4 linked regions of the Struthio camelus genome follow. The protein of the gene in region 3 interacts with the protein of the main gene of each other region in a pairwise test. Links are inferred from orthologs where the notes say so. Each region holds a gene or a part of one and is shown on either strand. Other genes may lie near its edges.

The links.
Region 1: the proteins of MORN4 (region 3) and BEND3 interact in binary tests that used the Homo sapiens proteins (3 or more experiments, as listed by UniProt). The two-hybrid records come from large-scale screens. The link is inferred for Struthio camelus from reciprocal best matches to the Homo sapiens genes MORN4 and BEND3.
Region 2: the proteins of MORN4 (region 3) and SEPTIN6 interact in binary tests that used the Homo sapiens proteins (3 or more experiments, as listed by UniProt). The two-hybrid records come from large-scale screens. The link is inferred for Struthio camelus from reciprocal best matches to the Homo sapiens genes MORN4 and SEPTIN6.
Region 4: the proteins of MORN4 (region 3) and HMMR interact in binary tests that used the Homo sapiens proteins (3 or more experiments, as listed by UniProt). The two-hybrid records come from large-scale screens. The link is inferred for Struthio camelus from reciprocal best matches to the Homo sapiens genes MORN4 and HMMR.

The regions. Positions count from the first base shown.
Region 1 is NC_090944.1:58,877,941-58,885,651, forward strand, and holds the start of BEND3 (BEN domain-containing protein 3), read right to left. Parts: upstream 3,026-7,711; 5' UTR 2,759-3,025; intron 1,929-2,758; exon of another isoform or gene 1,358-1,928; intron 39-1,357; 5' UTR 1-38. UniProt on the Homo sapiens protein: Transcriptional repressor which associates with the NoRC (nucleolar remodeling complex) complex and plays a key role in repressing rDNA transcription.
Region 2 is NC_090952.1:11,991,165-11,999,361, forward strand, and holds the start of SEPTIN6 (septin-6), read left to right. Parts: upstream 1-4,955; 5' UTR 4,956-4,970; coding exon 4,971-5,003; intron 5,004-8,197. Other genes in the region: ankyrin repeat domain-containing protein SOWAHD, read right to left, coding at 477-1,430. UniProt on the Homo sapiens protein: Filament-forming cytoskeletal GTPase. Required for normal organization of the actin cytoskeleton. Involved in cytokinesis. May play a role in HCV RNA replication.
Region 3 is NC_090948.1:17,027,058-17,034,571, reverse strand, and holds the start of MORN4 (MORN repeat-containing protein 4), read left to right. Parts: upstream 1-4,354; 5' UTR 4,355-4,493; intron 4,494-4,678; coding exon of another isoform or gene 4,679-5,092; exon of another isoform or gene 5,093-5,129; intron 5,130-6,186; exon of another isoform or gene 6,187-6,260; intron 6,261-7,514. Other genes in the region: PI4K2A (phosphatidylinositol 4-kinase type 2-alpha), read right to left, coding at 144-205, 739-892, 977-1,108, 1,354-1,554, 4,679-5,092. UniProt on the Homo sapiens protein: Plays a role in promoting axonal degeneration following neuronal injury by toxic insult or trauma.
Region 4 is NC_090954.1:15,762,184-15,769,327, forward strand, and holds the start of HMMR (hyaluronan mediated motility receptor), read left to right. Parts: upstream 1-4,085; 5' UTR 4,086-4,296; coding exon 4,297-4,342; intron 4,343-5,546; coding exon 5,547-5,627; intron 5,628-6,287; coding exon 6,288-6,364; intron 6,365-7,144. Other genes in the region: NUDCD2 (nudC domain-containing protein 2), read right to left, coding at 208-291, 1,255-1,406, 2,799-2,847, 3,838-4,026. UniProt on the Homo sapiens protein: Receptor for hyaluronic acid (HA). Involved in cell motility. When hyaluronan binds to HMMR, the phosphorylation of a number of proteins, including PTK2/FAK1 occurs.

The sequences.
Region 1 (7,711 bases), on a different chromosome or scaffold from region 3:
CACATTGAGGAAGTTAAATCTGGTACCCGAAACCACACCTTAATTAAAAGAGAAGATAAAACATTATCTGATTTCAAATTGACTACATATCTTAAGAAACTCTGAATTAAGAATGTCGCTTCAGTTATCTGAACAAAGAGCAAAATGCAAAAAGACAGCATAAAGAATACTAAAAGTGTGTTTTCTATTCTAGCAATCAATTTTAATATAGCAGGGTGCTGCTAGTGACCCAGCAATGGAGTTTTTGAATAAAATTTATTCTTGATATCCAGTATTGATACTCAAAAGACTAAATAACTTAGAAAATGCTATTCCATCACAATCAAATACAACTATAAGCACATGTGTAACAGAAGCTTTTAATCCGTGAAAAAATATTTCTTGTAAGAACCAGCAGATGTTGTTGGAAGCATTACCCCCATGGATAGAAAAATCTCTATACTTAACTGTTTGAAAACGTCCTTTGCTGCTTTGTGGAGGACAGGAAGCCTCACGACCGAAGCCTGCCTCTAACAATGGCATTTTGCCAACAGGACTTGCAGGGCATGTTCTCAATTTGTTTTTTTTTTTTATTTTATTTTTAGTTACATCTGCAGATGCACTTAAAAAAATAAAATCACGCTTCTCAGTTTTCCCAGAAGCTGCATATAGCTGAAATTTTCCCTACCTGTCCCCCTTACTTTCCCAAACACCAATTTCATCTTGCAGTGAATGATCAGTGCAATTTGTTTATTTTCAGCAATGTATTAACTACTATATGTATAAACTGTATGTAAGGTAATGCATTAACTACAATTTGTTCAATTAAGTGTTTTCCCCCGGTCTATTAGGAACATTGTTTTTCTCAATGCTTTGTTCTCTCCCTCCTCATCTTCAACTTTATTTTAAAATACTGCTCCATTTGAACTTCCTACAGACAATTTAAAATCCCCTTCAAACTCCACTACACTTTCCTTTATTTTTCACTCACTGGGTAACAAGCTATGGAAATACTTAGCAAAGATAAAAAAGTACTGTCAGTCAAATGCTGAGCTTGATTTAATGAGACAGAAAAAATCGACTACCATAGATTTCTAATTGTTTTACCAGCTGAAAGCATCAAAGTAAACGGAGAATCTGACAGCCAGATATTAGGCAAAAGTAGGGAAAGGATCTGAATGCCTCTGCCCCAAGCGTCAGGCCTATACTGCTCTTATAGGTGCCAGTGACAAGCTCTATCTGCGCTCCAACCCAAAGGCTCTGGGACTGCGTCAACGCTATGTGGAAGCAGTCACATGGCTCTTGGACTGCAGCCGGCTCACATTCTGCTGGTTCAGAGTTTGTTCCCTTCTATTTACAAAAGACTGCGTAGACATACCACAGGAGAGAGCAGGGTAAAGCACAGGGTGAGCTGGGTGGAGGTAGACCATTCCTCCGCATCAGCCTTCTCGCGTCCCCTCAACTCTTTGCAGGTCAAGAACCAAGATGAATTATGACAGAATCATCAGCTCGATGTTACTAAGGGTTTTTATCAGCTAAGGGTCTGACCCAAGTCCTCACTTCTCACAAGGCACGTGCTTACATGCTGCTCCAAAGGTTCCCATGAAGCCCACATGTAAGACCATTTAGCTTCTGAACAGAGCTGTTATCATGGGAAATACACACCGCAAGGTCCCTCGGGGATGAACCACGCAGTCAGCTACGCTAGAAACTTGTGATACCGACTAGCATGCTGCCAACCGGCCCTGCCGCGGGGAGGACGGGCGCCGGCAGAGGGAGATCACCTCTGCCCTGTTACTTGCCTAGCACTCACAACCCACTCACGCCGAGTCAGACGCGATCCCCGCCCATGCCATCGAGTCGCCCCCTTTTGCAGGCACCGGGACGGCACCGGGCCCTCTACGGGGGACGAAGGCAACTTCCCGCTCCGCTCTGGGGCTCCCGGGGGCCGGCGCTGCGCAGCGTCGCACTCCGCCCCGGCGGGACCCCCCACCCCCACCCCCGCGGAGGACACGTGCTCCGGCCCCGCCACCTCCACCCCCCCACACACACGCACGCACGCACGCACACGCGGGGACAGAGGGGCGGCGGGCCCCGAGCGGGAAGCGCGGCGGCGCCCCACGGGCTCCAGCGCCTGCCACGTGGGAGCCACCCGCGGCGCCGCGCGGCGCCGCGGCCCCGCCCCGAGGCGGGGGCTGCGGTAACGCCGGCCCCGCGCGCCCCGCACGCGGCGGCCGGGGCCGCTTCCGCGGTCAGACCCACGAGCCCGACGCGGCGGCGGCGGTGGCGGCCGCTGCTTCCGGTCCGAACCCTGCCCGGGCGGATCTATGTGGCGGGCGGGGGGGGGGAGGGGGGCCCGCGGGCAGAGGAGGGAGGGTTAAGGTGAGGCTGGAGGTGACGGCGGCGTGACCGTTCCACTCCTCCCCCCCGCCCCCGCCGCCGCCGCGGAGATGGAGGCACCCGGAGGGAGCGCGCGCGCGCCCCCGCGCGCCCCGAGCCGCAGCGCTATAGCAACGTTCCAAGCAACGAACAAAGAGTCCCCCCCCGCCCCCCCTGCCTCCCCCGCCGCCCGCCCCGCGCCCCACGGGCAGGGGGAGGGGCGGCGGCGCCGGGGGCCCCGCGCCGCGGCCGGGGGAGGGGCCGGCCCGGGCCTGCCGCTCGCTCTTCCCCCCCCCCCACCCCGTTCCTCCCCTGGTCGCCGGGGCGGCGCTCCCCACCGAGGGCTGCGCGGAGCGGCGCCCCTCCCGCCACTGCGCCGGGGAGCGGCGGCGGGACTTACCTAGGCTGCCTGTGGGGGCACGGGAGCCCCGGGACTGCGGGGGCGGCTGGAGCGGCCGCCGCTGGTGCCCGCGCTTCCCCCCCGCTCTTTGTGTGCGAGGGTCCGCGCGCTGCGCTCTCGCGTGACGTGACGGGACCGTGTGTCATTTCCGCACAAGGACACTGAGCCCCAAGCCGCCGCGGCCAGCGCCACCCGCCGCCCCGGGGCAGGGGCAGAGGCGGGAGGGGAGGGGGGAGGAGCAGGCCGCTCTCCCCCCTCCTCTTCCCCCCTCCTTCCCCACCCCCCGCCCTCCCCGGCGCTGCCACAGGGAACGCGGTTCCCACTGGAGACCCCGCGCGCGCCCGCCCCCGCCGCGCTCCTCGCGAGCGAGCACGCGCGCGCGCGCGCGCGCTGCCCACTCGGCGGCGCGGGGGCAGCCCAACGGCCGGGCGCGAGCGAGCCGCGCCGCGCCGCGCCGCGCGCCATGGCCGCGAGCAGCGCCGGCGGGCACGGCCCCGGCCCCCCGCGCCGCCCCTGCCGCACGTGGGCCCGGCCCGGGGACGCCGAAGGACACGCGGCGCGCTCTGCCTCGGCAGCCGCCGCGTGGAAGCGAGTGGCAAGGCCGGCACCGCCGCCGCCGCCCCCGGGGGTGGTGGTGGTGGGGGAGCCACGCACGGCACGGCCGCCACCCCGGCAGCCCGCGCCGGTCGCGCGGCGGCGGCGGGCCGCGCACGTGCAGGCGGCGGCGGCGGCTGTGAGCTTGCGCTCGCCGAGCTGGGGGCCGAGCGGCGACCGGGCGGGCGGGAGATGGGGGACGGCGTGGGGGGGCAAGGGGGGCGGTGTCCCCGCCGGGCGGGCGGCCACCACCGCGTGGCCATGGCCGGCGACGGGAAGCGGCGAGCACGTGGCCGCGCGGCCCCGCCGGGGGCGGCGCGCGTGAGGCCAACGGCCGCTCCCGCCCCGCGGCCAACGGTCGCCTCCTCCCCCCCCACCCCCCACGGCCGGCGGAGACCTGAGGGAAACGGCCGCCCGCCGCCCCACGCGGGTCCTGCCGCGAGTCCCCACGGGCGCCGTGTGTGCCGGCGCGGGCAGAGCGGCCGCCCCTGCGGCTCCCGGAGTCCCGGCCCTCGCTGGCCGCGGCCTTTCGGAGGGGCCGTACCGGGCCTGGCGCTGGGAGCTGGCTGTAAAGCCTTCAAATAAATCCCCATGTCGTAACGCCTGCCAGGAATCCCTCATGTCGTTATTTGGGCAGCGCGTGATGAAAGTGTGAAGAATCGCTCATTAGTTATGACACTTGTTCGCCGTACGCGCGCGCTCGCTGACTTGACCCAGAAGGCGATTTTTCTGATGAGCTGGCGCTTCTGGACACACCGTGGCAGGCTCGCGGCATGGTTGGAAGTGGTGCTGCTCCGCACACTGCCTGCCTTTATGCAATGCGAAAGCCTTCTTTCGTGTTTCTTATTGCCAGGTAAGGAAAGCTGGCATTTGGTGCTGTTTTAGGCTGCAGCCTGTACTTGTAAAAACAGAAATTCAGTAGGCTCTGTTTAATTCACTTCCAGGCTTGAGGATTTTATGTTCTTTCCTTCATCACTTTCACGAGAGAATTTTTTCTTGCTTCACATTTGTGGGGCTGATGGCTGCAATGATTTATAAAACAGAGATCACATTCTTTTTTAATTAAGTATCCTTGTAGATCTTATCTTTTTTTTTTTTTCTGAGTTTGACACAGGCATTACATTAGTTTGGCAGTTCTTACTTGCTCTTGCTACTAAAAGCTTGTAGAAAAACATTTCCCAAAGATTTAAAAAAAAAAAAGAAAAGAAAATATGGGACAGGGAAGTCCAATATTGTAAGCTTTGGCCTGTTATGGCAATTGTACGCTTTAACTATATTTAATGACCCTGAAATTAGCAACGTATCAAACTCGACAACTTTTTGTGAAATGTTTTATTTGTACAATGAACTCAGCTGGCGCTGCTATTCCGATTAAATAGATGCCTCTTGCCTTTTAATAAAAACACATGCACAGGAAATTCCCTTTCTAATTACATTGTAATGAAGTTTCAATTTTTCCAGAGTGAAAGGAATAAGTCCAAAGGTGTTACGTTATTAAAAATAAATAGATAAGGATGGATCCTGCCATGAAGGGTGATGGAACTCACAGAATTTCAGCATAAGGGACTGTTAAACGGAAATGACAAGTAGTAGAAGCAATTTAGCAACAACCAAACGTGTAAGTAGAACACCTCGGCTTTGAGCATTGCTGTGGATTCAACAGATGAATCTTTAATGTCTGTTACCTACTGAAACTGCATTTCGCTATAATAAACCTACCTTTTCTTTTTTTAGGAAAAGCAAATACAAAAACATGCAAGTCAAACAATTGAGAAATAACACCATGGGAAACAAAATCAAATGCCCCATAAATAACTCTTTCCTAGATATTTCCTATTTCCTCAGACTTGAACAACATAAACAGTGGGTCTTAAAAAAAAAGCCACCATTTCAGATTTTCAGTGCTTCCTTTAGAAACAGTTCTCTGTAATTTCATTCTTCCAGTTACGCGGCTCTTCTAAATTTGGAATTTAGGGCTGCTGGCATATTTACAGGGTCATATTCCATGAATAATCCTAACAGATAATAGTTTGTTGATCTTAACCTTAACTGCTCTTTTTTTTTAATTATAGACAACTGTTTAAAGGCGCTTTTAAAAGCAGGAACTACCCGCACTATAACTACTCTGATGAATCACTTGAATGAAGGATGCATTTTATTAACAAGACAAGCGCTCTGCAGTTAGCAATTCATTCAGCCTTTAGAGATAAAGAGCACTTCCAGATAACTTTTCTGAGCCTGTTAGCACTATAAAAAAGACTTAAGTTTATAGTATGATGATCCCTCTCCCTTTATTGTAAAGCTAATTGAAGGAGTACAGGGTATAATGGCTTAACACCTGGCCCAGCTGTTAAGTAGTGCTATATCTCAGCTGGATTTTACTTGAATGCTTTACTGAGTGGGATTAAGCAAAGGCGACCATAAGGCAAGAGCAAGACGGTGGAATCCCAAACTCAGTTTCAGAGCCCTTGAGAAAATACTTGCCAGTTTGAACTCCACCTCGGTTCTGCTCTATAGCGCTGGCCTGAGGCAGTCTAGCTACTAGGGACCCAAGCCCAGGAGGTGACCTGAAGGGCCTCAGCTAAGCATAAAGAAGCATGAGCATATTGTTGCAATAACAACATTCACTGAAAAGGGAGCAAGCCAAGTTGTCTCCAGGCAATGCAGGTAGCAAGCTTAGATTGGCTTCCTAGCCAGACAAGTCCCAATTTTTTCACTATTTGAACCTGTGCTACACAAGTCATTTATTCAAGTGTTCATTTTTTCCCTTCGTGCCTTTGGCTCAAAAGCCACTCTGTGACCCTACCGCAATCTCTGGAAAATTCCAGGTCACCAGGGAGGGAAGGGGGAGGGAAGGCTCTGGTGCTTCAACAAGAAAACTCTTCAGGAAGAAAATCATGATTGCTCTTGAGTGCAAACAATGGGCCATTTCTCACTTGACCAAACCGAAACTATAGATTTGCAGCCATCGACACTGGCAAAACTGTGTTCAGAGCTGCTTGCAAGCTGAAAGCACCATTTGCAGTTGGAGTTTAATAAGGGTGGACTATGATGGTTCCTTAAAAGTTTACCTGTAGAAACCGTAAGGTGCCAGGCTGCCTCCTCCCCCTCCCGCCCTGCAGAATACCCTCTCTGTGTTAGTTCAAAGGATGCAGTCAGGCAGGGAGTCCCCTCGCGGTGCCGAGGAACCGCAGAGCTGGCAGGGAGCTCCTCCACGCTCCCTGCTGCAGTGGGCCCCCAGCTGGAAGCCACACCAGTGCAGGACGCTGAGGGTTATGGCACGGCACGACAACATGGACCGGGAGAATGAGTCTAAAGGTAGAGGCCTCTCTGCTTCCAGTGCCACATGCATTTGGCATAAGCAAGAATCCAACCTAAAACTTTCAGCTGGCCTTCTTTCTTCTAGATTCTTGCAATACCCTGCAGCGCTCACTCAGTAGGCAGAGGCGGAGCATGTGACACACCAACACGGACATCGAAAGCACTATCAGCACCAACTCATTCTGGCAGTTTGATTCCGTAAAAAACATTGCTATGCTACCAGTATAACATCTTTCACCATTCTCCACCACACATCTTGAAACCAGGCCACCTTGCACCCGACACCAGATGCAAGAGTCATGGTGTCTGGAAGGAAAGCCAAGAAGCATCGTAGCGGTTAGGACGCCCTTGCGTCCAGACCCAGTTCCTTGCAACTTATGGGCATTTTATATTAGGACCCTCATGGGAAAACAAGTCCCATGTCCTTTAGGGACAAGCCTCACTGATAACCAGGCTTTCTTCTGCCTGCTTGTGGGATGTCTTGATGATTCCTGCCTTGCTGGCCGCACACTGTGTGTGCAATGGGTGCAGGTGGGCGTCCCCTCCTGCGTGGCAGCCCAGCAGCAATCTTCTGAAATACGGGTACAATCTTCTTTATGTGATCACGGTTTGAAAGCTGAGGCTGGAGGAGTGCTTTGCCACTGGCCTTGCCTAGGGGACGGAGGCTAACGTCTACTGCTGGCTCCCAGTGCCAGCGCTGGGGAGGGACAAGCACCTAATTTAAATGGACTGGATTGCCCTCTAGAGGCAAGCCAGGTAGGCTGGCTCCCCACAGCAGGTGTCCTGCTGAAGTCTTCCCACTAACTCCATGTGACAAGCTGGGAGTCAGGCACTGACCAAAATCGGGCAGGTACCTAAATTAGGCAGCTCGGATTTCATCAGAAATTATTTAGGCATATATTTGATATAAATAAGCTTCAAAGAGATTGAACAGGTTTGTCAAAAAAGAAAGTACACAGGTTTTGAAATTTAAACCAGCGTGATTTTTAGGACTTTCAGAAAATCTGAAAGACACCATAAACAAAAAAATTAATCTAA
Region 2 (8,197 bases), on a different chromosome or scaffold from region 3:
GAGAGCCCTCCAGCGGGCCAGGCGCGGCAGCCGACCCTTCGGCTCCCTGGCGCCCCGCACAGACGCCACCTCCCCTCCTTGCCGGGCCGCGGGGTCGGAAAACCAGATCCCATCAGCGGGGCGAGCGCGTGAGCAGGGAGCGGGCTCCTGCCTCCGCGGTGGAACTGGTGCCCCAGCGGCGCCGGTCCCCAGCGAGCAGGGCAGGAGGCCCCCGGGCCTGGCAGCGTAGCCGCAGGAGGCAGGGGGTTTTGCAGGGGAAAAGCGGTCGCCGGAAAGCGCTCCCGGCGGCCGAGGGCAGCCCGCACGCGCGCTCGCAGCCGCACGAGGCCGAAAGCGCGGGCGCAGCCTCCGCGCCCCGTGCCGGGGGTTGATCCCCGCTCGGCTGGTGGCTGCAAGCGCTAGCGCCCGCCAGGCTCCCAGCCCGGCGTGGCCGCTGTTCGGCGCGGGGTCTCCAGGCAACGCGGGCCGGGGACGCTTCAGCGCTCTTGGAAGAAAGCAAACGCCTGCCTGACAAAGTCCCGGAGGGTCGACAGGCTCCGGGACCGCTGTTTTTTCCCCTCAGCCCCCGAGTCCACGCAGTCCCCTGCGCCTGCCCGGGCCTCCCTGGATGACTTACAGTTGTTGTTGGTGTTGTGGGCGCCCAGCTGCGCCAAGTCCTCCTCCAGGGCCCCCGCCAGCTCCTTCAGCTCCCAGGAGGCGTCCGCCCGCAGGTACTGCCAGGCCTTGCGCCCGCTGTGGTCCCTGCGGCTGGCGTCCGCCCCGTAAGCCCCGACGAGCACCTTGATGAGCATCTCGTGGCCCTGCAAGGCGGCCAGGTGCAGCGGGGTGAGCCCGCCGCTGGCCGCGGCGACGTTCACGTTGACCGGGTAGCCCTTCTTCTGCGCGTGGGAGATGACCGTGATGAGGCTTTCGTGGTGGCCGTGCTTGGCGAGCCAGTGGAGAGCGGTGAAGCCCGTCACGAAGTCTTTCCGGGTGAGCAGGCTGGGGTCCAGGTCCAGGAGGCGGAGGATGCTCTCCGAGTCGCCCTGGGCCACCGTCAGCAGCCACTCGTGCTCCAGGGGGTCGAGGGCGAGGGACAGGACCTCGGGGCTGCCCTCGGGCTCCGGCTCCCGCCGGCGGCGCAGCCCCGCGAGCGAGCCGCCGCCGCCGTCGCAGAGCTGCTGGGCGGCGCCGCCGGGACCGTTGCTCGGCAGGAAGACTCCCTTGAGCTCCTTCCTGCGGCCGCTGCCGGGGCCGACGGAGAGCCTGCCCGCCGCGCCAGCCCCGCCGCCCGCGCCCCGCCGCCCGCTCCGGCCGGGCTCGGCCGCCGGCGGCGGCGGCAGCGGCAGCCCGGGGCCGCCGCGGCTCCCGGCGCCCGGCGGCCAGGCCAGAGCCGGGGCCGCGCCGGCGACCTGCCGCTCCGCCGCCCGGGCGCCCTCCGGCCGGGCCATGCTGGCGGCCGCCGCCGCCCGGCCCCGCTCCGCACCGCTCCGCGCCGCCCCGGCCCCGCTCCGCCCCGCGCCGCCACCTGCCGCCGCGCAGGGCTCCGCGCTGCCCCCCGCCGGCGGCCGCCGCGCAAGCGGTTTTGCCCTCCTCGTTTCACCAGGAACCAGGACAAATTCCGGCAGCCCTGAAAGCCACCACGTCCCCCCCCCCCGCCTCCGCCCACGCCCCCGCCAGGCTGGAGCGGTCGCCAGCTGGCTTGGCTCGCCCTTCCCGCAGCCCCAGCCCGCTCTCCCCGGCCTTCCTCCCCCGGCTCCTTCCTCCTCCTCGCTTCTCCCCCGCCGCCGAGGCAGCCGGGCCGGGCGGCTCTCCGTCCGCCGGCAGCCGCTCCGCCGGGGCGCCTGGGCAGCGCGCGCGTCCCCTCGCTCCCTCTCCCCAGCTGCTGGCCTGGGCAACAACCTTCGGAGGCTCCTGCGCACTCAGGGAAGCAAGAGACACGGACCGGGCCGCCGCTCGTGCCGGTCCCCGGCGGGAACGCGCGCCCGCGGGAGGCCAAGGCAGTCTCGCAGTCGTCCAAGGTGACAACATGAGGTTTCATGAGGTTTGAGGAACCTCCTGAAGTTGAACAAAGGCAAGTGCAAGGTCCTGCGCCTCGGGAGGAATAACCCCATGCACCAGTACAGGCTGGGGGTTGACCTGCTGGAAAGCAGCTCTGCCGAGAAGGACCTGGGAGTGCTGGTGGACAACAAGTTAACCATGAGCCAGCAGTGTGCCCTTGTGGCCAAGAAGGCCAATGGTCTCCTGGGGTGCATTAGGCAGAGCGTTGCCAGCAGGTCGAGGGAGGTGATCCTGCCCCTCTCCTCAGCCCTGGGGAGGCCTCACTTGGAGTACTGTGTCCAGTTCTGGGCTCCCCAGTACAAGAGAGAGATGGCACTCCTGGAGAGAGTCCAGGGGAGGGCTACAAAGATGATGAGGGGACTGGAGCGTTTCTCCTGTGAAGAAAGGCTGCGAGAGCTGGGCCTGTTTAGCTTGGAGAAGAGAAGACTGAGAGGGGATCTCATCAACGTGTACAAGTATCTGAAGGGGGAGTGTCAAGAGGATGAGGCCAGTCTCTTCTCCGTGGTGCCCAGCAACAGGACAAGAGGCAACGGGCAGAAACTGAACCACAGGAAGTTCCACCTGAACCTGAGAAAAAACTTCTTCACTGTGAGGGTGACAGAGCACTGGAAGAGGTTGCCCAGAGAGGTAGTGGAGTCTCCTTCGCTGGACATATTCAAAACCCATCTGGATGTGATCCTGGGCAATATGCTCTAGGTGACCCTGCTTGAGCAGGGAGGTTGGACTAGATGATCTCCAGAGGTCCCTGCCAACCTCAACCATTCTGTGATTCTGTGACAAAACCCCCTCAACGTCAGCAACGTGTAAGCCCAGGTAGAGAGCGTCAAACGATCCCGGCGAGCTCCAGCCCCTGGGAGCCTGCTGGCTGCCGCCCGCGCCCCGGCCCGCTGCACCTCCACCGCCAGGCCGACCTCCAAACGCAAAGGAAGCTGCAACTCAGCCCCGGCTGAAGGAGTTGAGCTTGAGAAAATCCTACACGCACCCCGCTGCGCCCCCCGGCCACCCCACGCCAGCGGCCAGGCCCCCGGGGCCGCGCGGGGCGGCCGCCCCCTCCTCGCCCAGCGCGGCCTGCGAGCTGCGCTCCGGAAACACCCCAGCGCAGCAGCCATGGGTCCAGGTCGTAGGAGAGCATGGATGGGCCTCCAGGGACGCGCACAAAACGCGCACGTGTTTTATTTTACGTAGCAAGCAATTTACGGAGACTTAGGCCCCCCTGTCCCCACCAGCCCAGGCCCCACAGGCCCCAGTCCCTGGGCCCCCCCCAGCCCTCTCTGCCCCCCAGTCCCGGTGCCCCCCCGGCCCTCTCAGCCCCCTCGGCCCTGCCCCCCTGTCCCCCCGGGCCCTCTCTGCCCCCCGGTCCTGGTGCCCCCCCAGTCCTGGTGCCCCCTCCAACCCCCCCGGCCCTCTCAGCTCCCCTGTCCTGGTGCCCCCCCGGTCCTCTCTGCCCCTTAGTCCCGGTGCCCCTCGGTCCCTGCCCCCCCCTAGTCCCGGTGCCCCCCGGTCCCTGCCCCCCCCCAGTCCCGGTGCCCCCCCGGCCCTCTCAGTCCCCCTAGTCCCGGTGCCCCCCGGTCCCTGCCCCCCCCCAGTCCCGGTGCCCCCCCGGTCCTCTCTGCCCCTTAGTCCCGGTGCCCCCCGGTCCCTGCCCCCCCCCTAGTCCCGGTGCCCCCCGGTCCCTGCCCCCCCCCAGTCCCGGTGCCCCCCGGTCCTCTCTGCCCCCTAGTCCCGGTGCCCCCCGGTCCCTGCCCCCCCCCAGTCCCGGTGCCCCCCGGTCCCTGCCCCCCCCCTAGTCCCGGTGCCCCCCCCGGCCCCAGCGCCCGGCCCGCGGCGCGGGCTGCACCACCGCGAGGGGCCGCGGGGGGGGCCGGGGAGCCCCGCGCGCCTCGGTGGGGCGGCGGCGCGGGCTCCTCCCCCCCCCCCCCCGCGCGCGGCGGCGGCGCTGGGCGCGGCCCGGTGCGGCGCCGCCCGGCCGGGGCGGGCCCTGCTGGCGGGCTGGCAGCGATGGCGGCGGCCGAGGTGGCGCGGCAGGTGGGAGCGGGCGGGCCGGGCCGGGCCGCGCCCCGGCGCCGTTGGCAGGGCGCGGGGAGGGGGCAGGGTGTGAGGTGATGCTGGGGCGGTTCGGGGGTGATTTGGGCCGGGGGGGGCCGGGGTGATTCGGGGGCGCGGCGTGGGTCGGGGGGGGGTCCCGACCCCCCGCCCCGGCAGCAGGACCCGCTCGGGCCGGGCCGGGCCGGGCCCCGCGGCCTGGGCCCGGCGGCGGGAGGCGGCGGCCGAAGGGGCCCCGCCGCCGGCCCTGGCCCTGGCCGCGGCTCGGATCCCGCCCTGCGTCGGCGGAGAGGGCGCGGGGGGGCCCGGCCGCCTGCGCCTTTGTCAGAGCCGCGCCAAGGAGGCGGTGGCAAGGCGTTTTCAGTCGCGCGGCGTCCTGGCTGGCTGCGGGACGGCGGGGCTTCCGCGCCCGAGCGCTAGCGCGAACGGCGCTGGGGGTGAGGGCTGGCCCTGGCCTTCGCAGAGCGAGCGACAGGTTTTTGCAGGGGCCCGATCCGGGCGGGCGGGTAGGCGTAGCCCCGCCGTGCCGAGCCGCGGCCTTGTCTCCTCCTGGACGCACCCGTTGGCTTGCGAGTTGTGGCCAAGGTACGCGAGCGACTCGCTTGTTCCCCTGCCCGCAGTCGAGCGTTAGGCTCCCCGAGGACGGTGCCTCCAGACATCTGCTAGTAACTCGGTGTGAGCTGCGGGAGGGCGCAGCCTGCCTTCCGAGGCAGGAGTGAAAGCTAGCGGCAAGACGGACGAGAAACCAGCCTGCCGCAAACGGAAAACGTCTAGATGCAGTCAGAAACGGAAAACGTCTAGATGCAGTCAGACGACTTGGCGGCGCGGGTCTCGGGCCCCCGCTCGCCGCCCGGGTTCGTGGCGCGGCCGGCCGCGGCGCCCTGGCGATGCGGAGAGCTGCCGCCTGCGCGCCGCCGGGGGTACGCGCGTGCCAGGGACGGGGGCCTGGCTGCGCGGGGTGGTGGGGCACGGCCGCTGCCCGGCTCCCGGCAGGCCAGGACGGGGAAACCCTCGCCGCCTCTCCTGTCCTCCCTGGCAGCGCGGAGGGGGCAAGTTTTAAATGAATATGGTCCAAACTGCCTCCCGCTCCGCTAGTCCGTGGGCGGAGGACGGCTGTGGTGGTGGAGCATCTTGCAGAGCAGGGTCTAGCTCTCGGTCTCGGTGGTACAAGGTAGAAAAATCACGAAGGGTGCCGAATATATATTTTTTTAACTGCTTGAGGAGACTTCTCCTGGGAACGTGTCCAAACAGCTTGGAGTTTCTGCAACCCTTTGGCAAGGGCATAAAGAAACGTAATCTTAAGAGCTGTCAGAGTTGGAGATTTCAGAAGCGCTTGACCGTTTCTGAATACTGGATGGCTGGGTGATGCAGCATGCCTAAAGGGAGCGGGGTCAATGGTTGGGGTTGGGGTGAGATTTTTCTTGCTTCTGCTGGTAGCTGATTCAAAACTATTTCTCTCCCTCTTCACTTGTTTTTCTTGTAAATTAATGCTGTTGATTTGTTATGAACTGAGCAAGAAAAAGAAATACAAAGTATCTACGCTTTACGTTCCTGCATTGAGTTGGTCTCTTAGAGGATGTTTATGCTGCCTACTGGATAATTCTCTCGTTGCACAGGAGAATTACACGCTTGTACAAGTGCCAAGCGACTGGTACAAGCGTTGCTCTAATCTGTTGTTTAATCAGAGCCAAATGCAGGCTGGGGAAGTGGATGCCACAGCGCCGAGGTCACGAGGAGGGATCTGGTGGTGTTCTAGCGCAGAGATGATCTGAGAAACTGTGGTGCAGAAACCTGAATTCAGGCTTTGGCTTGCTTTCTGGTTTGACATTTGACTTCTTGTGCAACCGTTTCAGGTGCAGGAATTAACCTGCTGGGTTTTGGCTTTACGGGGTGGCAGAGAGGCGTAGTGGTGGAGCTCTGTGGACGTTGCTCAATGTTTTCATCGGGGGGCTTTGCCGTTGTGTTCGTTCCGGCCTTTTAGAAATCCTCCAAAGGGAGTCTCCAAGGCCTCAGAGCGCGAAATGATTTTCGCTTGGGGCGGGTGGGAGATCGTGGTGAAAGTACTATCTGTCACGTGTCAGTATCCTAAACAGAAATGCTCTTTTAAATTAGATGCAGAAAAAGGATTGTACTGCTTCCTCTAGAATAGCAGTTTTTTGAGCTTTTTTGTGGTTGTGCAGGCCTCGTTTGGACACCGGCTCCATTGGGTTGAGAGCTTTAGTTTTTTTTATTTGCTTTGCTGTGCTCTGCCTGAGTATTGCCAAGCGGAGGCTTTCTCTTGCCACGGTGTCGTTTGTCAGCGTTCCTGTTAGCACAAGCCGCCAGAAAGGGTTCTGAATCTGGAGCACTGACATTTACGTGGAGCAGCACCGTTGCGTGGTTGACAGATGATGTGCCACTTTATCTCCACGAAGCGGTAACCACCTTTCAGCGCTCTCAGGTCATCTCTGGAGCCGACAGCACTGTACCTACTTGTTGTGTAAAGAAGATAAAGGCAGAGGTGCGCGTTCAGTGAGATTTTTTTCTAATTATTTTTCCTTCCTGAGGACTTCTGGAGAGAGGCAAGCACCTGGAGTCCAAATTTTGCCCAATTTAACTAAACTAATATTTAATCGGAGTGCTTTCAGGCTTGGGATAATTTATTATAACACTTGTATAGTTTTTAAGTCTTTCTGATACTTCTACGTGAGAATTAGGGTAGACAGCACTGCTTTTTGTGGCAAGGAAAAGGCCTAAGAAAAGGTGTGTAAATCCCCCAACGATGCGGAAAAAATAAAATTACTTCCCCAAGTGGCTACACCATACTTTTGCTCTCAGGTAGCCCCACCTGGCAACGCAGCAAGGCAGTGTGTTGCTCTTTTTGTTCTTTTAGTCTTCTTTGTGGCAAACACACTTTGCTGCTTCCGCATAACAACAGCTCATTCTGTCCTGGGGGGTCACTCTGCACGTATGGGGGAAAAAAAAGGCATCTGGTAGCTTGGTGTAGTGCCAGTATTCACACTGGCTTCCCAGATACTCCCGGCTTTGTCCTCGTTCCAAGAAGATGCTAGCTTTGAAACAGAGACCGCGAAAGGACTCTTAGACATCCAGCGTTCGCTGATGTTAGCGGAAAAAGCCTTCACGTGGGCAATAAACGTTATCTGCCTTGTTGGGATCTCTCTGTGCGTTTGACCCAAAAAATTGCTGTTGAACATAAACAATGGTGAGCAGCTCTTGAACACTCTTTTCTAGCACAAATTGTTGCATAGGCTTAAAATACTCTCATTTTGAACAAGGTAATCCAAATCTGCATTTAATATATAGGCAGTGTGACTAATCGCTGTGTTCATATGTTGTTTGTGGTGAAGCTATTTATATAGAGCAGCAGGCTGCGTATAGAGACACCACTTGGTGTGTGAAGACTCGTTATTTGCACCACTTCTTAGTGGATCAGGTAGAAAATGTTTCTTTTCTCTCCACAGCTTTGGTAATTGCTGACAACTTTCTGACGTGCATCAAAAACAGTGTGAATTTAAAACATAATTTTGTATTTTCTCACCGTATCTGATCTCCCAGTTCTTTGGCCGTGCGGGCTTTGGACTTTTAGGCAGTAGAGCACAATATACCTTGTGGCTGCTTATTTAACGTAAAGGTTCGGCTGCTGTGACTGCAAATCAGATTTTGCAGTTCTTGTTTCCTGGCCTGTAACAAATGTGAAGTGTGGTTTAACTGCATTAGAAAACCACAGGTGACTAGAAAAAGAGGCTACAGGAAATGACTTGTAGACTGATTTCTCTGTGATGGCAAATGCCTCCTCTAGCCTACGGTGGCTTAACTTTTATTTTGTTCCATCTGGATCACACTTATATTTAGGGCTGAGGAGAAGATTTGTTCTTAATGAGAGCCTACACTCCCACCCACACTTCCTGGAGAGAGTAGTGTTCAAACAATGTTCCAACAGTGCAGTTTTAAGGCTGGCTATTAAAAATACCCTTGATATTCCTCCTTCTCCAGGAAGGAGTTTGCCTGTGGTTCTCTCTCTTGCCTTTGCTGACTCTGTCCATCCATCTGTTTTTCCCCAGGACGGTGGTGCTCTCTCATGAGAGATTAAGCAGTGCCGCAGGATATTCCAGGG
Region 3 (7,514 bases):
AGAAAGGCCCAGGAGACAAGATCAGGCCTCCACACACTCCGAAGCCTAAGCCAGTTGGGAAGTCCCCTGCCTGTCTGCCAGGCAACCAGCTTGCAAGCTGCAGACAAGCCCTGCGGTGCCCCTGCCCAGGAACAACCACTCACTCGCACGCCTGCGCTGTCCAGGGGACAATCATACTTGATGAGCCAGTTGTCATTGCCCCGATCTGCAGGAAGAGAGAACCAGCCACATGAGCTACAGCCCTGGGAAGCCCCATCAATCCCCAGGCAGCTAAAGAGGAGACTAAAGTGGTCCAGGCATTCCCAGCTCTCAGGAGAGGCACAAAGAAAGGTCAGCCTGCCAGCCCAGGAGTGCTGCTCCAGCCCATAATCCTTCCAGCCCAGAATGAACTCGGGAGGCCCAGCACGAGCTGGGATATTGCAGCACAGTCAGGGGCTTGGTGCAGGGTCCCTGGATGTCCTGGGATCCTTGCAGCTGGCAAACTTTTGCCCCAGCACCTGGGTAGACCCCAGCCTGGCCTCCAGAATACAGGCTTAGAGCCAAAGTTTGGCCGTGCTGGTGGTAGCCACAGCAGTTGTGCTCCACCCCAGAGGCAGCTGCCATTTGGCAACAACCAAGCGGTGTTGATACAGATTTGGGTGCTGCGAAGAGTTGTCAAGTTCCTGCCCACATCCCTTCTCTCCAGCTGGCAGGACATAAAGGAGCAGGCAGCACCCCAAGCGAGGCAGCTGGCTCTACCTGTGTTCCTGATGATGTAGTCCAACACCACCAGCCGCTCAAACTGCAGCAACAGCTGCCGGTTGGTGTTCTCAGGAAGCGGCTCAGCTTCAAATCGCCGCAGCCAGTAGTCAGCATCCTTGTAGCCTTCCACAAAGAGCTGGAAGGAGCCCACCTGAAGGAAGGAGCAAGTTCGTTACACAGGGCAGCAGTAGAGGGAGAGGTGGTGACAGGCACAGGCCTAGCCTGAGAGCCCTACCTTGGGTGGCAGACCAATGCGGTTGAAGCGCTGGCCGACTTTCGGCACCTTCTCCAGGGCCAATCTCTTTCCTCGGGATTTTACTCTGTCAATGGCACTGTAGTTAAAGGTCTCACTGGCCAGATACACCACCTGAGGAGATGTCAGCACGCCAGTCAGCTAGGGCAACTGGGGCACCGAGGCCTCAGAGGCCTTGCCGATAACACCAAGACACAGCCCTTCCCACGGCTCTGCTCAGCAGCAGGTTCCCCACAGCCTGAGCAGGAGCAGTCGTGGGTCAGAGCTCTCAACACAAGATTTCCAAGGTTTAGAGTGCCACAAGACAAGCAGACAAGATGAGACTCCCTGGAACAAGAGCCCAGCAGCGGCCCTCTCACCTTTGTGCGGGGAACAATGTTGAGTTCCAGTTTCTGGTCCACAAGGCTGGCACCTGCCTCCGACAGGTAGCCCTGGTTCAGGACGAGACAGTCTCTTCCGAAGCAGCAGGGGCAGCACAATTTCTGCAGCCACTTGGTCCACTTGGGGTTCAGCTGCCCATACGGCTCCTCATTTTTGGGCTTAAAGACACCAATGATTTTCTGAGAACAAGAGAGAGGAGGGCTGACTCTCTGGGCAATTGGTAGGGAGTCAGGACACTCACCCCTGGGCCAGCCTGTGGCAGGGACGGGCTCTGCCAGAACAGAACAGACTCAGCCAAGCCACCCTCCCGCAGTACCCAGCCCCGCTGTGCCTTTCCCTGCTTCTTTCTGCCCATCAGCCACCTCAGATCCCCTCCCAGAGCAGGGGAGAGGCTTGGGCACTGCTCATCATCCCCTGTCAGGCACTCCCACCCACTGCAAGGGGGAAAAACCTGCACCCCCAGCACTCGTCTCTGCCAAGAAATCCACACCCTAGACTGGGGCAGTCACTCTTCCTTCACCCTGGCTTATTCTCCAGGCACCTACTGCCAGCCCTGGCTCAGCTGCTGTGAGCACTGCCCACATGCATATTCAGGAAGAGGACCCAGAACAACCTCTCACCAGGGCAATAACCTGCCTCTGGGCTCCCAGGAGGGAGGCAGGGGCTGGGGCAGATCCTTCCTCCAGCCAGTGCCCCATCCCATGAGATCAGAGTGCTGCCCAAGGATTTCACATCTGGCTCAGGCGCCCAGGAAGTGCTCTCCTTGTCCCAGAGGGCACCACTGACAATGCGGTCCCCTGCCCTGGTAAATATTTCAGCACCAGTCCAGTGACCTTTGGATGTCTGGGAAGAGCTAACACTCCCAGCTGCTAATTATACCCATGTAGGAGAAGGGAGGAAGACAGAGGCCCCTGCTCTGGTTCCAATATCCATTGAACAGAGCTGACCCCAGGCTGCTCAGAAGCAATAGGGCTGAAGCAGCACAGCAGCTGAAAGACCTCCAAGGGGCCCTAGGCTCTGTGCTGCAGGGCCCAGTTAGAGACAGCAGAGGGGCCCTGGCTTTCCTGTGGGCAGGAAGGTGCAGACATCTCTACCTATCAGCAAATTGGGCGGCAGCTGGTGCCAGGAGCACCCCCAGCCCCTCACTCCAGCCTTGTGCTTATCAACCCCACAGCAGGCAGAGTCACACAGAGAGACAGGTCACCCCACTGATGCAGAGCATAGAGGCCACGTGCATCGTCACTGCATCGTCACCAGGCCAAGTCTCCCACCCAGGCAACCGAGATACAGGGCTGGGGCAAGGCTGCCGGCCCCAGCCCAATCAGCTGGGTGGTCAGGATCCCTCGGAGGGGCTGAGCAGCAGCTCCCAGCTTGCAGCCCCTGAGGCAGGATGACTCAGCAGCACACATGACCATCCCTCCTCCCCAGAGCTGGCTCTAGCCCTGCCCTGAGTGGGTGGCACTTCCCCAAGCCAAGCTCCTGCCACAGTGCAGAAGTGGGACACCAACCCCAGCATCTCAGCGAGGGATCCCAGGGCCTTCTTTCCAAGGCAACCCCATTGTCTGCCAGGGGCCCAAAGCCAACCTGGAGAAAGTGGGAGCAAGACTTTGGCTACTGGGAAGAGGGAGGGGAAGGGTTGGGAGAACAGCAGCACTTCAGCCATCCCTAGATCACACAGAGGAACCACTTCTCAGAGTGGGCCAAGACCTAGAGAATAGGCAGGAAGGCCTTATCAGCCCCATGTAAGGACACAGGGTAGCCAGCATGTCCTTGGATTCGAGCCTGCAACAGGCTGGCTGGGAGCTCTAGCAGCATGGAGTTCCCAGTACCATGCCCTGGGGAGCAAGTCCAGCAGGGCAGGAATAGTCCTGGAGCAAGGACGAGAGGCCTGGCAGCAGTGTTCCCTTTCAGACCTGCGCTGGGGGCAGATTGGGAAGTAGCTTGCTCAGAGCACCGTGGAGCAGTGAAAATGGATCAGCACCAGCAGCAGGGAAGGGGGAGCCAAGCCAGCCTGGAGGCCCAGCCAGCAGCTGGGGTAACCTCAACTGCCAGGACTGCAAGGAAGCACATCATGTAAGGTCCTAGCTGGGAGAGCTCAGGTCCTCAGCCTCCCAGAGGGAAGCAAGCACCTGACCCCATCTCAGAAGGTTTTCCTCAATGTCCTCAATCTTTCCCTTGCCCCAGCCTGTCCATCACAGCACTGCACTCCCTCCCACACCATCAGCAGGCAGGTTTCAGTGACCCTGGACAGCCCAGGAACAACACATGCACCTTATTCACAGCAGGATAGGCCAGGGAGACCGGCCTGGGATACAGCCAGGAGCACACAGACTTTGGCTCCTTGCACACTTCCTCCATCAGTCCTCACTGAGGCCTGGCATCCTCTCCCTACAGCCAGGCAACCACTGCCCTACAACCTCAGGGCAGCTTGTCCAGCTGCCCACACCAGCAACAACACCATGTCTCCTGTTGGGCAACAGAAGGCTGGCACAAAAGGAAGTTGCACACTCTCTGTATTGCCCCACAGACAGCGCAGCTGAGACCTGCCTGTGAGAGCTCCCTGCCTCCACCCAGGGCAGAAAAGCCAGAGCATAGCAAAGACACATGAGCCCAGTCCTGCTTCCTGGGAAGCACCCCAGCAGGCACTTGGCAAGGGAGTCACAGGAAGCAGCAGCAGCTCGAGTATTTGAGTTGGGCGCTGCAGGTCACAAGGCAAGCCATGCTGTGCTGCACACGCAACTAGCCAGTGGTGTGGAGATGGCTGCCAAGCAGATCTAAAGAGAGTCAGCTCTGCTGAGGACTTTGTGTTGAGTCAATCTCCCACACGCCCACAGAGGGGAACTCTTACTCCAGTCTCACAGACCAGAGAATGGTGCAGCCATCAAAGCCTCAGCCCTAAGGCTGAGGTCACCACAGTAAGCAGATGCTGATCGGCAGGAAGAAGCGGGCTGCGGAAGAGGGGGCAGCCTTCCTGCGGCTCCACTGCTCTCCGTGTGCGACGCCTTGCGGCGTTCCCAACCGAGGGAAGCCGCCCGGGGCTCCTGGCAGGACAGCCCCACGCTGCTCCTATCAATCCACAGAAGCCCAGATCGATGTCACGAGCTGACCCGGCCTGAGGGTGAGCACAGCCCTTGCACCGGCCAAGCCCTGCCCGAGGCGGGCCCTCCGCCAGGCCGGCACAGCACCCTCACCAGAGGCCTCTGCCAGGCTGCACCGGCGGCAGGGCAGGCAGGCAGCCAGCCCCGGGGGGCCTCTCCCGGGGGCGCGGGGAAGGGCCCGGGGCCCCGCCGGTGCCGGGCTCACCCCCTGCGGGTCCTTGACGAAGTAGCTGCCGCTGGAGCCCTGCGAGATGCGCTCGGGGTAGATGCCGCGCTCGCTGGCCAGCTCAGCCCGCCGCACCACCTCGGCGAACTCGGGGTCCTCGGGGAAGTCGTTCCGCTCCCGCTGAGCAGCCGCCGCCGCCGCCGCCGCCGCCGCCGCCGCCGCCTGGGCCTGAGCCTGGGCCTGGGCCTGCGCCGCCGCCGCCGCGCCGGGGCCGCGCGCGCCGCGCTCCAGCAGCGGCTGCCGCTCGCGGTCGCGGCCGCCGGGGGAGCCGGGCGGCGAGGGCGGGGGCGGGGGTGGCGGCGGCGGCAGCGGGGCGCGCACGGCGCCGCCGGGAAGCCCGTAGTCCGGGGCCTGCGCCCGCTCCGGCGACACCAGCGGGCTCGTCTCGTCCATGGCTCCCGCCGGGCCCGCGCGGCGCGCGCCGTCAGCTGACCGCCACTTCCGCCGCGTCACCGCCGCCGCGCCCCATTGGCCCGCCCGCCCGGCGTCCCGCCCCGCCCGCTCCCCATTGGCCCGGCCCCCTGCCCTGCGGGCCGCGGCCGTTGCCATGGGGACGCCGGCCCGCCATGGCGGCTGCCCCCGCTGCCGCCGCCGCCCCGTCCCACGCAGGAGACGCGGGTGCCTAGGGGAGCGCTGGGCCGCAGCGCGCTTGCGGGGAGGCCTGGCCTGTTAGAGCTCCCTTGCTCGCTCCGACAGGACCAGGGGTACCAGGAGGCGGGTGGAGCTAGTTCTGCAGAGGCAGAGGCCCAGAGCCAGAGGGCCAAGGCTCAGACCAGGCTCTTGCTGGCCGCCGATCTCCTCTAGTGCTTATCTCTGTTTCAGTATGTACTAGGTCAGATGTTGGTGCTTTCTGCAGGCTTTTCTGGCCTCGCACCAAAGACGGGCCTTGTGCGTTCAACAGCTTGTAACGCCAAGGGCCCTGCAGCTCGCACGCCCCCAGCACAGCTTCTCTCCCGCGCTGCTGGTAGCTTTGATCCATCCTCCCTTGCCCAGCTGTGCCGGACACCGGGGCCGCACGCCTCACGGCATTGGACGCTCTTCTGGGGGCGAGCTCACCTGCTGACTGCAGCGCTTGCCTGCCTTGTGTCCTTCCTACCGGCCTCCCCGAGGATGTGTGATTTGCTGCTTTTCCACCACCTCTCATCCAGGTGCGAAGGGGAAAAGCACTTTAGAAAAGAGAGCCGACACAGACTGCCTTGGCGGCCCCCTGCCCCACACAAAGATGGCCGCTCAGGAGTTGAAGGGGCGCCCCCCGCTGCCCTTCACAAAGATGGCGGTGTCTTGGGTTGGGGGCGGCGCCCCTCAGCGGTGGCACCGCCGGGGAGGAGATGATCTTGCCCCTCACAAAAATGGCGGCGGAGGAGAGGGGGCGTTAGAAAGCTGGCCAATGAGGAGCCGCGTTGCTAACAGTTGCCATGGATACAGCCAACGGCTTGCGGGGATGGATGCTGGCGGCGCTGCGCCGCCCGACGGGGCGGGGGGCTGGCAGGGAGGTGGCCGTGCCACCGCCCCTCGGCGGGACCCCGGTGGGGAGCGGTGCGGGCGGCGAGCGCGGAGCCAGGTGAGCGCTGGCGGCGGGTGCCGTGCGCCGCCCGGCCCGCCCCGGCGTGCCCGCCCCGCCCGTGGTGGTGGGCACCGGGCATCCGTGCATCGCCCCCGGGGCACGGCCCGCCTGGGGTGTGCACGCATCACTCCTGCGTGCATGGCCCGCGTGAGGTGTGCATGCATCACCCCTAGATGTAGGTGCATGGCCCGCGTGGGGTGTGCACGCATCACCCCTGGGTGCATAGCCCGCCTGGGGTGTGCAAGCATCACCCCTGGGTGCATGGCCTGCGTGGGGTGTGCATGCATCATCCCGGGTGCGTGGTCCGCGTGGGGTGTGCATGCATCACCCTGGATGCATTGCCTGCCTGGAATCTGCAAGCAACACCCCGGGTGCATAGCCCACGTGGGGTGTGCATGCATCACCCCGGGTGCATAGCCCGCGTGGGGTGTGCACGCATCACCCCTAGGTGCATGGCCCGCGTGGGGTGTGCATGCATCACCCCGGGTGCATTGCCTGCCTGGGGTCTGCAAGCATAGCATCACCCCTGGGTGCATGGTCCGCCTGGGGTATGCACGCATCACCCCTGCGTGCATGGCCTGCGTGGGGTGTGCATGCATCACCCCTGGGTGCGTGGCCCGCGTGGGGTTTGCACGCATCACCCCTGGGTTCATGGCCCACATGGGGTGTGCATGCATCACCCCTGGGTGCATGGCCCACGTGGGGTGTGCATGCATCACCCCTGGGTGCATGGCCCACGTGGGGTTTGCACGCATCTCCCCTGGGTGCATGGCCTGCATGGGGTGTGCATGCATCTCCCCTGGGTGCATGGCCCACGTGAGGTGTGCATGCATCACCTCGGGTGCATGCTCCGTATGGTCATGCTTGCATTGCCTGTGGGTGCCTGCCCCATGTGGGGTGTGCATACAACACCTGGGGGGAGGGAGGCCTCGGTAGGGTGGGCGTGCATCTCCCCGGGCACATGCTGCATGTGGGCTATGCATGCATGACCCATGGCTGCATGGCCCACGTGGGGTTTGCATGCATCATCCCTGGATGCATGGCCCGTGTCGGGTGTGCATGCATTGCCTGTGGGTGCATGGCTCAGATGGGGTTTGCATGCGTCACCTCTGGTACATGGCTCATGTGGGTGTGCATGCAACACCTGTGGGTGCGTTGCCTGCATGGGGGGGGTGCATGCATCACCTGCATCACCCCGGGTGCATAGCACAGGCAGGGTGTGCAGCCATTGCTGGTGGGTGCATGCCCCAT
Region 4 (7,144 bases), on a different chromosome or scaffold from region 3:
TTGTCCTCAGTATTAGAACATTATCACAGCTTAAAATCAGCTGCTACCACTTTTTCTTGATTCTACTGGAAGAGATCTTCTTTCTCTCATAGAAATAAGTAATTGCCAACATTCTGCCAAATAGATCACGGAAGTCTTCACCAGTTACGCATTCCAGTCCTTAAGTGCGTTGTATTATCCCTCTCAAGGGACACAGGGGAAAACAGTTTACTTTTCAAGACTAGAGAAGTCTGGTCCTCCTTTGCTGTAATTTCCAGAAATTTCTGCCCCACTGAAGTCAAATCCAGGGTTCTGATGGACGTAAAAGAAAAATTTAGTATACAGATTATACTTAATACAAGCGTATAAACCAACGTTTCTGTTAACTTTCTGTGATTCTAACAAGGACATATAACTATCAGCTTGCTACACAATTCAAAGCTGTCACCGCACTGAAATTCCGCTTGGAGAATGCATCAACAAATAAACCTTGAATTGTCACAGTTGCGTTGCCCACTGCCCAAGTGACTTTATAATGCCATCCTCAGTTTGTCAGATCTCCCAGTAAAGAAATATTAACAAATGTTGGAGTAAGCTTTCTGACTTTTGGTGTCCCTTTAAATTACTATCTGAAAGCATAAGTACCTGCTGTGCTGGATAGCGATTAAAATAAAAACAGTGCTCTTTTTAGCTAAGAGTAATGTGCTGATTCAGCTGTTAACTAATTAGCTGTACTTCCACAAGTCTGCAAAAACAAACAGAGACAGCTGACTGCTAAAGGTGTATGAAAATGGTTAAAATCAATTTTAGTAAAAGGGCAAGGAAAATATTTGCCAGCTCTCCATCATCTGATATTATATGTAAATATAGTCATGAGAGCTTGATGTTAGCTGTATTTAAAACAAACTTCTAAACTATAATCTTAGAGAATAAGAGAAATCGTACGTACCCTAACTTAAATGAAAAGTTGTTGAAAAGAATTATGCATCAAACACTAAAACATTTTTTTCCTTTTCCCCAAAACTAACCTTAACTTCTCACCAAACATTCAGACAGAACAGCAAGTTCTTAAAAGTACTCTGATAAAGCCTAATGAAAATTCTATACATTAAAGTATGAAAGTATTAATTAATACTTTAATTAATTAGTATTGCATTAAAGTATTTGTTTCCAGGATCTTGCTACTGGACAGCAAAATAATTTTGCTCAGCTTTCACAGTCCTGACCCATGTGTGCAAATGCAAAATACAAGCAGTAATCAGTCCTCTGACTTGCCTCTCTTTGGAATCGCTCCAGCGTGAGTTTCCTTTGCATCTGGTCCTGTACCCAAGGATCAGCAGCGTATTCATTTTCTAACAGCGACGTCCAACAATTTCCAGCATCGCGGTTTGTCTTTGTTAGAACAATTCGTATCAATTTCCTGTCCTCTATTGATTGAAGAGAGCCACAGAAAACAACCATTAGACGCTGTCCCGTGTGCTACTTTTTTTTGTTGTTTTGCTGAGTTCACCATTAACATGTTGAAGCATGGAATTTTTTGCTGAAGTGATTTAAATTCTTAACACTGATGCCAACAGGGCTATTAGTAAATAATAACAACAACAAGAAATGGAAAAGCTCAAGCAGAGACAACCTTATGCAGCCATTCCCGCGCTTCTGGCCTTTAAAATGTTGAAGCTGTTCTGGGAGGTTAAAACGCAGTTCATAAGAACTTCTGTTTCAAACATAAACTAACTTCTTCGAGGGGTTCACATGTGAGAAGAGATTTAACCTATTAATACATACAGCTCTGCTAAGGCAATAATTACAGATTTGAAGTCAGGCTGACAGCTTTACAGAATGTTATTACCAGTAAAAGTCAGAAGTAAGTTTAAGTGACTTATGGAGGTATAATCATCTTTTTTTTTTTAAAATGTAGACAGTACTCTTATGAACAATGGCTATACTGAAAGAACATCTCGGAGTTATCACGTAGAATGTTTTAGCGCTAACTGAATAAATGCAGCATGATATGGTGCATTTTGAAGGTTATTCACGTACTGGGAAAGAGTGGGCTTCACACTTCTAATATTCATGATTAAGACAACAAATCGTTCATCAATGTTGATACTAGCCAGAAAACAAAACCATCCTAGGAAAACATTAAGTGAGAAGCACAGTTTACATAATTTTTTTTATTAAAACTGAACACTTCACAATATTTGTGATGCAATGATCAGAGAAGTTTTTTTCTCTTTATCTGTAGTTAGGTACCTTAGCCTGATTTTTATACCACTTGTTGATTCTTTAGGATTGTAGGTTTTGTCACCTATCCCAAAACATAAGGCTTGAGAGGAAGAGGAGAGAATACAGAAAAGTAACAATGACAGAGAGACCTGAATCACATAACTGCACCTGTTTAATTTTTAGGAGAGTTTATTAAAAACTTCTCACCATTCGCTTGCTAAAAACTTAATGTTTATTCTAAGGAAAGTTTGTAATCCCTTGAATACTGTCTTCCCAGATCTGGCATTTCTCCATTAATCTTAATCGCTAAATTTTTTGCGCTACCTATGCTTAAAATCACATATCACATAAAAAAGATAGAAAATTAATATCTAATCCTGATTATCTCATCAACTGAATTTACATCTCCTTAGTCTGGCAGTAATTACGGCCTATTTTACACTACATATGGAGAATCAGAACCTGACCAAAATCAGAAAATAAATAATCTTTCCTGTAAAAAAAAAAAAAAAAAAACCACCTCTACTTTCCTGTATCATATTTGGAAAACAACTGCTGCCTTTCAAAATGTCACTTTGGAAACAGATCATTACCTAATGTCCACGTTCCTTCATCAGCTATTGTGGAGTCAAAAAGTTTACCCTGCAAAAGACATTTACAATATTACATAACAGGAAAACCTGTTTAGTATCCAGTTTCTGTGAAATTGCAAAGTGTTACTCCCAGCTTGCATTCTTCCACTCTACTGAAAAGGGCAATCTGGCCCCACAAATCTACACTTGCACCTAGACTAGCAAATAATTATTTTGTTACACAACAAAAATATTAGAAAATAAGTGTTTAATGCAATAAAAATACCTGTCACTGTTTCAGTATCTCCATTCAATGAAAGGGGCTGTGTTCTCAGGGGGGAATGCCATTTTTAATTGCCTTGCCATCAGAATTCCAGTGTCTGCTAAGGGCCATGCCCACCTATGGCGCAATGTAAATACATTATGATACAAAGAATTTATTGCTCACTTCCAATGAGAAAGCAGATTTATATTTAATCCTCATCATCTCCTCAGCTGAATCTACAGCTTCTCAGTCTGGCAATAACGATGGCTCATTTTACAGAGCTACACACGGAGAATCAGAACTGGACCAAAACCAGAAAAAAAGAAATCTTTCCGGAAAAAAAAAAAAACCTCTGTAGCACATTTTGAGAAATTATACTACCTTTCAAGCTATCACTTCAGAAATAGCGTATTACCTAATGTCTGCTTTCAGAAAGAGACTGGTATAAATATCAGAGGACTTCAACAATATTACAAAAGGTCAGAACGCAGCTGCTTTCAGACGTCCTGACTCCCATGTTCTCTTTCATTTGCAAAGATGATTCTGGCTCTTTTAGCGGTGAACGGCAACGCACCACGCAGCGGAACTTATTTTTCTTGAAAATATACTCCAGCAACAGAAAGTCTTTTTTGACTCACTGCAGTTTATTCACCCCACTTAAAACATTAAGTTATACTACGTTACAAACGTGGAATCAGGAGCGTTTCTGAAGTGAAAACGAGTGTCCGCGTAACGGCCGCCGCCGCGGGGGCTGAGGGCGCAACGGCCGCCTGCCCCTCCCCCCCCCCGCGGTACCTGCAGCACCTCCTCGCCCCCCACGGCGAGCGCGACGTGGCGGCTCCGCAGGCTGCAGCGCACGTCGCGGGCCCGGGTGCCCGGCGGCACGCGCACCTCGATGAACACCTCCTCCAGCGTCTGGTACCAGCGGCCCCAGGGGGTGGCGCAGGGCACCACCCCGCTCCGCTCCTCGAACGGCGCCGACATGACGACGCAGACGCCGCCACCCTCACGCGGCCCACCCGGAAGCCAGGGCAGGGCCCCTCCCCGCGCGCATGCGTACAAGCAAAGCCGTCCCCTTTCCCCCCCGCGGCAGCAAGGCTGCGGAGGGTGCTGCGCGTGCGTCATGTGGGGGGAGGCGGTGATTGGCTGAGTGCACGCCGCGCCGCGGGAGGTGATTGGCTGTCGGCGGCGCGTGGCGGCCGTTGGTGCCGTTCGAATGCCTAGTGGGGCTAACGGCGGTTGCTGCCTGTGGCCATGGCGTTCTCCAGAGCTCCGCTCCGGCGCTTCAACGAGAGCTCCGGTACGTGCGCTGCGCTGCGCCGCGCCGCGCCTGGCCCCTCGCTGGGAGCGCGGGATGGGGGCGGCGCGGGGGACCCGGCTGGAGTTTTCCGCATCAGCGGCTGTGGGAGGGGACCGGCCCGCGGCTCTGGGATGCCTCTGAGCACGGCCCGGCCCTTCTGCCTCTGCTTCTCGGGGCCTCGCCGCGCTCGGGGAGCTCTCGCTTAAGCTGGTGTGGCAGTCCGCTGTGAGGAAAGTGGCCGGCCTCAGGCTGAATCCTGGCTGTAGGCTAACAGGCTAGCTACTGAAAGCTAGAGCGGACGGATCCAAGATGTCATGGCTCTCTCATGTTATGACACAAAGCTACAAAAAACCGTACAGGCTTTCTTTCTCCTGACTGAAGTACGGTTGCTGACAGCAATTTCCAGCATAAATGCTTTTCCTCACGAGCTTTTGGCTGTGGCCGCATACCTGCTTCATGCTGTTGCCTGTTCTCAGAGGATAAGTTACATGAAGTTGCTCTCCTCTCTCTGTAGTTACTTATGAAACTGAACAAAGTGAGTGGGCGTTTACTGGGCTTGAGACCACCTGGTTATGATTATACAAAGAATTTGTAGCTATGTTGTTTCTGCTTTTTTTTTTTTTCTGTTTTCCTTCGAGTTTTTCTCAACTCTTTAGATTCTTTTAATAAAGGAGTAAGTAGTTTAGTTATTAGGATGAGAAGTCTGGAATCCATTAACACCTAAATATTCTGTTCTTCCAAACTGGAAGAGGACTTTAAAAAAGAATAGATGAGGGTTTGTTCTGTCCCCTTTACTTTGCTTTAGAGTGGCTCTCTCTCTAATTAGCTATAATATCTTTTAACTGCTTTCTTTCAAATTGAATTTAATGCTCCGCTACTGCTGATGAGCTGTCTTGAAACACTCTGTATGTGAAGCAGAACTCCTAACGTTTGTTGGGGTACCCAAAAGAAAGTTAAATTGAGTAGTCGACAATGATCTCACTAGCGCTGCAGTAATCTCTCTCCACCCCTTCCCCCAACCATGTGTCCTCCTCATATTTACGGAGGAAAACTGAGATGGGTTGTTGTGGGGGTTGTGATGGTGTTGTTTTTAAAATTAGGTCTAACTTAGGTGTGTTACCAGCTTTAACTCACCGTTATCATTTTCCTTATTAGTTCTTTGCTGTTCTGAATATTTCGTTTCTTGCATGTACTCTGCTGCCAGGATCCTATGATGTCAAATCATTGGATACAGTAAGAAGTTCTCTGTCTTCTGAAACACATCAACGGGTTAGGAGACAGAAGAGTAAGTAGCCCTAAAATATATACAAAGTACAACAATACAATACCTTTAAAAGCTAAGAATGAAAGTGCTTACATGCTGCTTCTGCTCTGTTTTTGGTTTTTGTTTTCTCTGGGTGGGATTTACTGACTGTCTTCCAGCTGTCATGGCTGGCAGTTGTAAAGACATGAATTTTACAACTTAATTGAATCTCTTTCAAAAATAATCCTTCTGTGCAATTTCTAGTGACTAGGAAGTGCTCCATTTTGAATTCAACTAAATGGTTTAACTACTTTTCTAGCCTTGCTTTTAATGGGTGGCATTTTGAGTTGTATAGCTGAGGGGAAAAACAAAACAAACACTGTTCCTTAGCTGAAAACTGACAGTGGGAATGTGGAGTGGGGGTGGGGGGAGAAACTCAGCAGAAAATGAGTTCTCAAGATTGGTTGTCACCTGGTGATCTATTTCTGAACTATGAGCGCTGGACTGATTTAATACTGAACTGCTTGCTTGCAGTAAGAAAATAGCTAGCCTTGGGTTGTGAGGTAGGTAGTCTAATAATCAAATAGCATCCTGTCTTTTGTATACAAAGTTGCTTAACCTTTTCCTAATTTAGTGAAACTTTCTTCATCGCATGCATGCATGCATGCTCCCTTCACCATTCTTGTCTGCATCCTTATTTAGGTGAGACAAATCTGAACAGTGAAAAGAATGCATCTACCCCTGTAACTGGAAGGAGACTTGTATCTCTTGGATCAATAGTAAGACTTTCTTCTGTGATGTCTCTAATACTATTAACTCTAGCCAAGCTTAATATTGGGTCTGATTCTCAATGTCACTAGTTAAGAGCACATAGCTGCTTTGTATAGTTACCGTTAACCTATCTAGAAGAACTGTGAAATGCATTATTATGCCTGGTTTCCTTTTAAAAAAGGGGAAAAAAAAAAAAGGAAGAAAAAACCAGAAATCTTAGCATCTTTGGGATCACATGGTGATTACTTGGGGCTACAGAGTAGCTTGGTTGATGGTGGGGGGGGTTGTTTCTTTTGTTTACATCCAATTGCGATACAGCTGCTTCTCATTAAGATCTTATTTCTGCTTCTATTTTCCTGTGGTGGATGTTACAGGGCAGGAACCTAATGGTGGAAGAATATAAGAAAAGATGATACTGTATACGCAGGTTCTGAGATGTATGAGGATATGGGTTTCAAAATGCATATGTTAACAAATTGAATAATAACTCTAATTTACTGATTGAGTTTATGAGAGCTTGAGGTAGGAGGAAGTTCTACGAACAAACTTGTAGTTAAGTGATTGAAGGGCTTTTGCAGAGATTAAACGGTGTTTATGTCTTAAAACTTCCTCAATCTCCTTTCTGTCACCATGTTCATGAGCTATCCGTTCAGAGTAACGTTCATGAGAAAGTGCAATGGTAAAACTGTTCCTAATCTAATCTGTCTGTTCTGTGTGTGGCTTAGCTTCTGATTTTGTGTATGCTTTGGGCAGGGGCTGTGTCTTAAATATTGCTGTGTGTGTGAAGG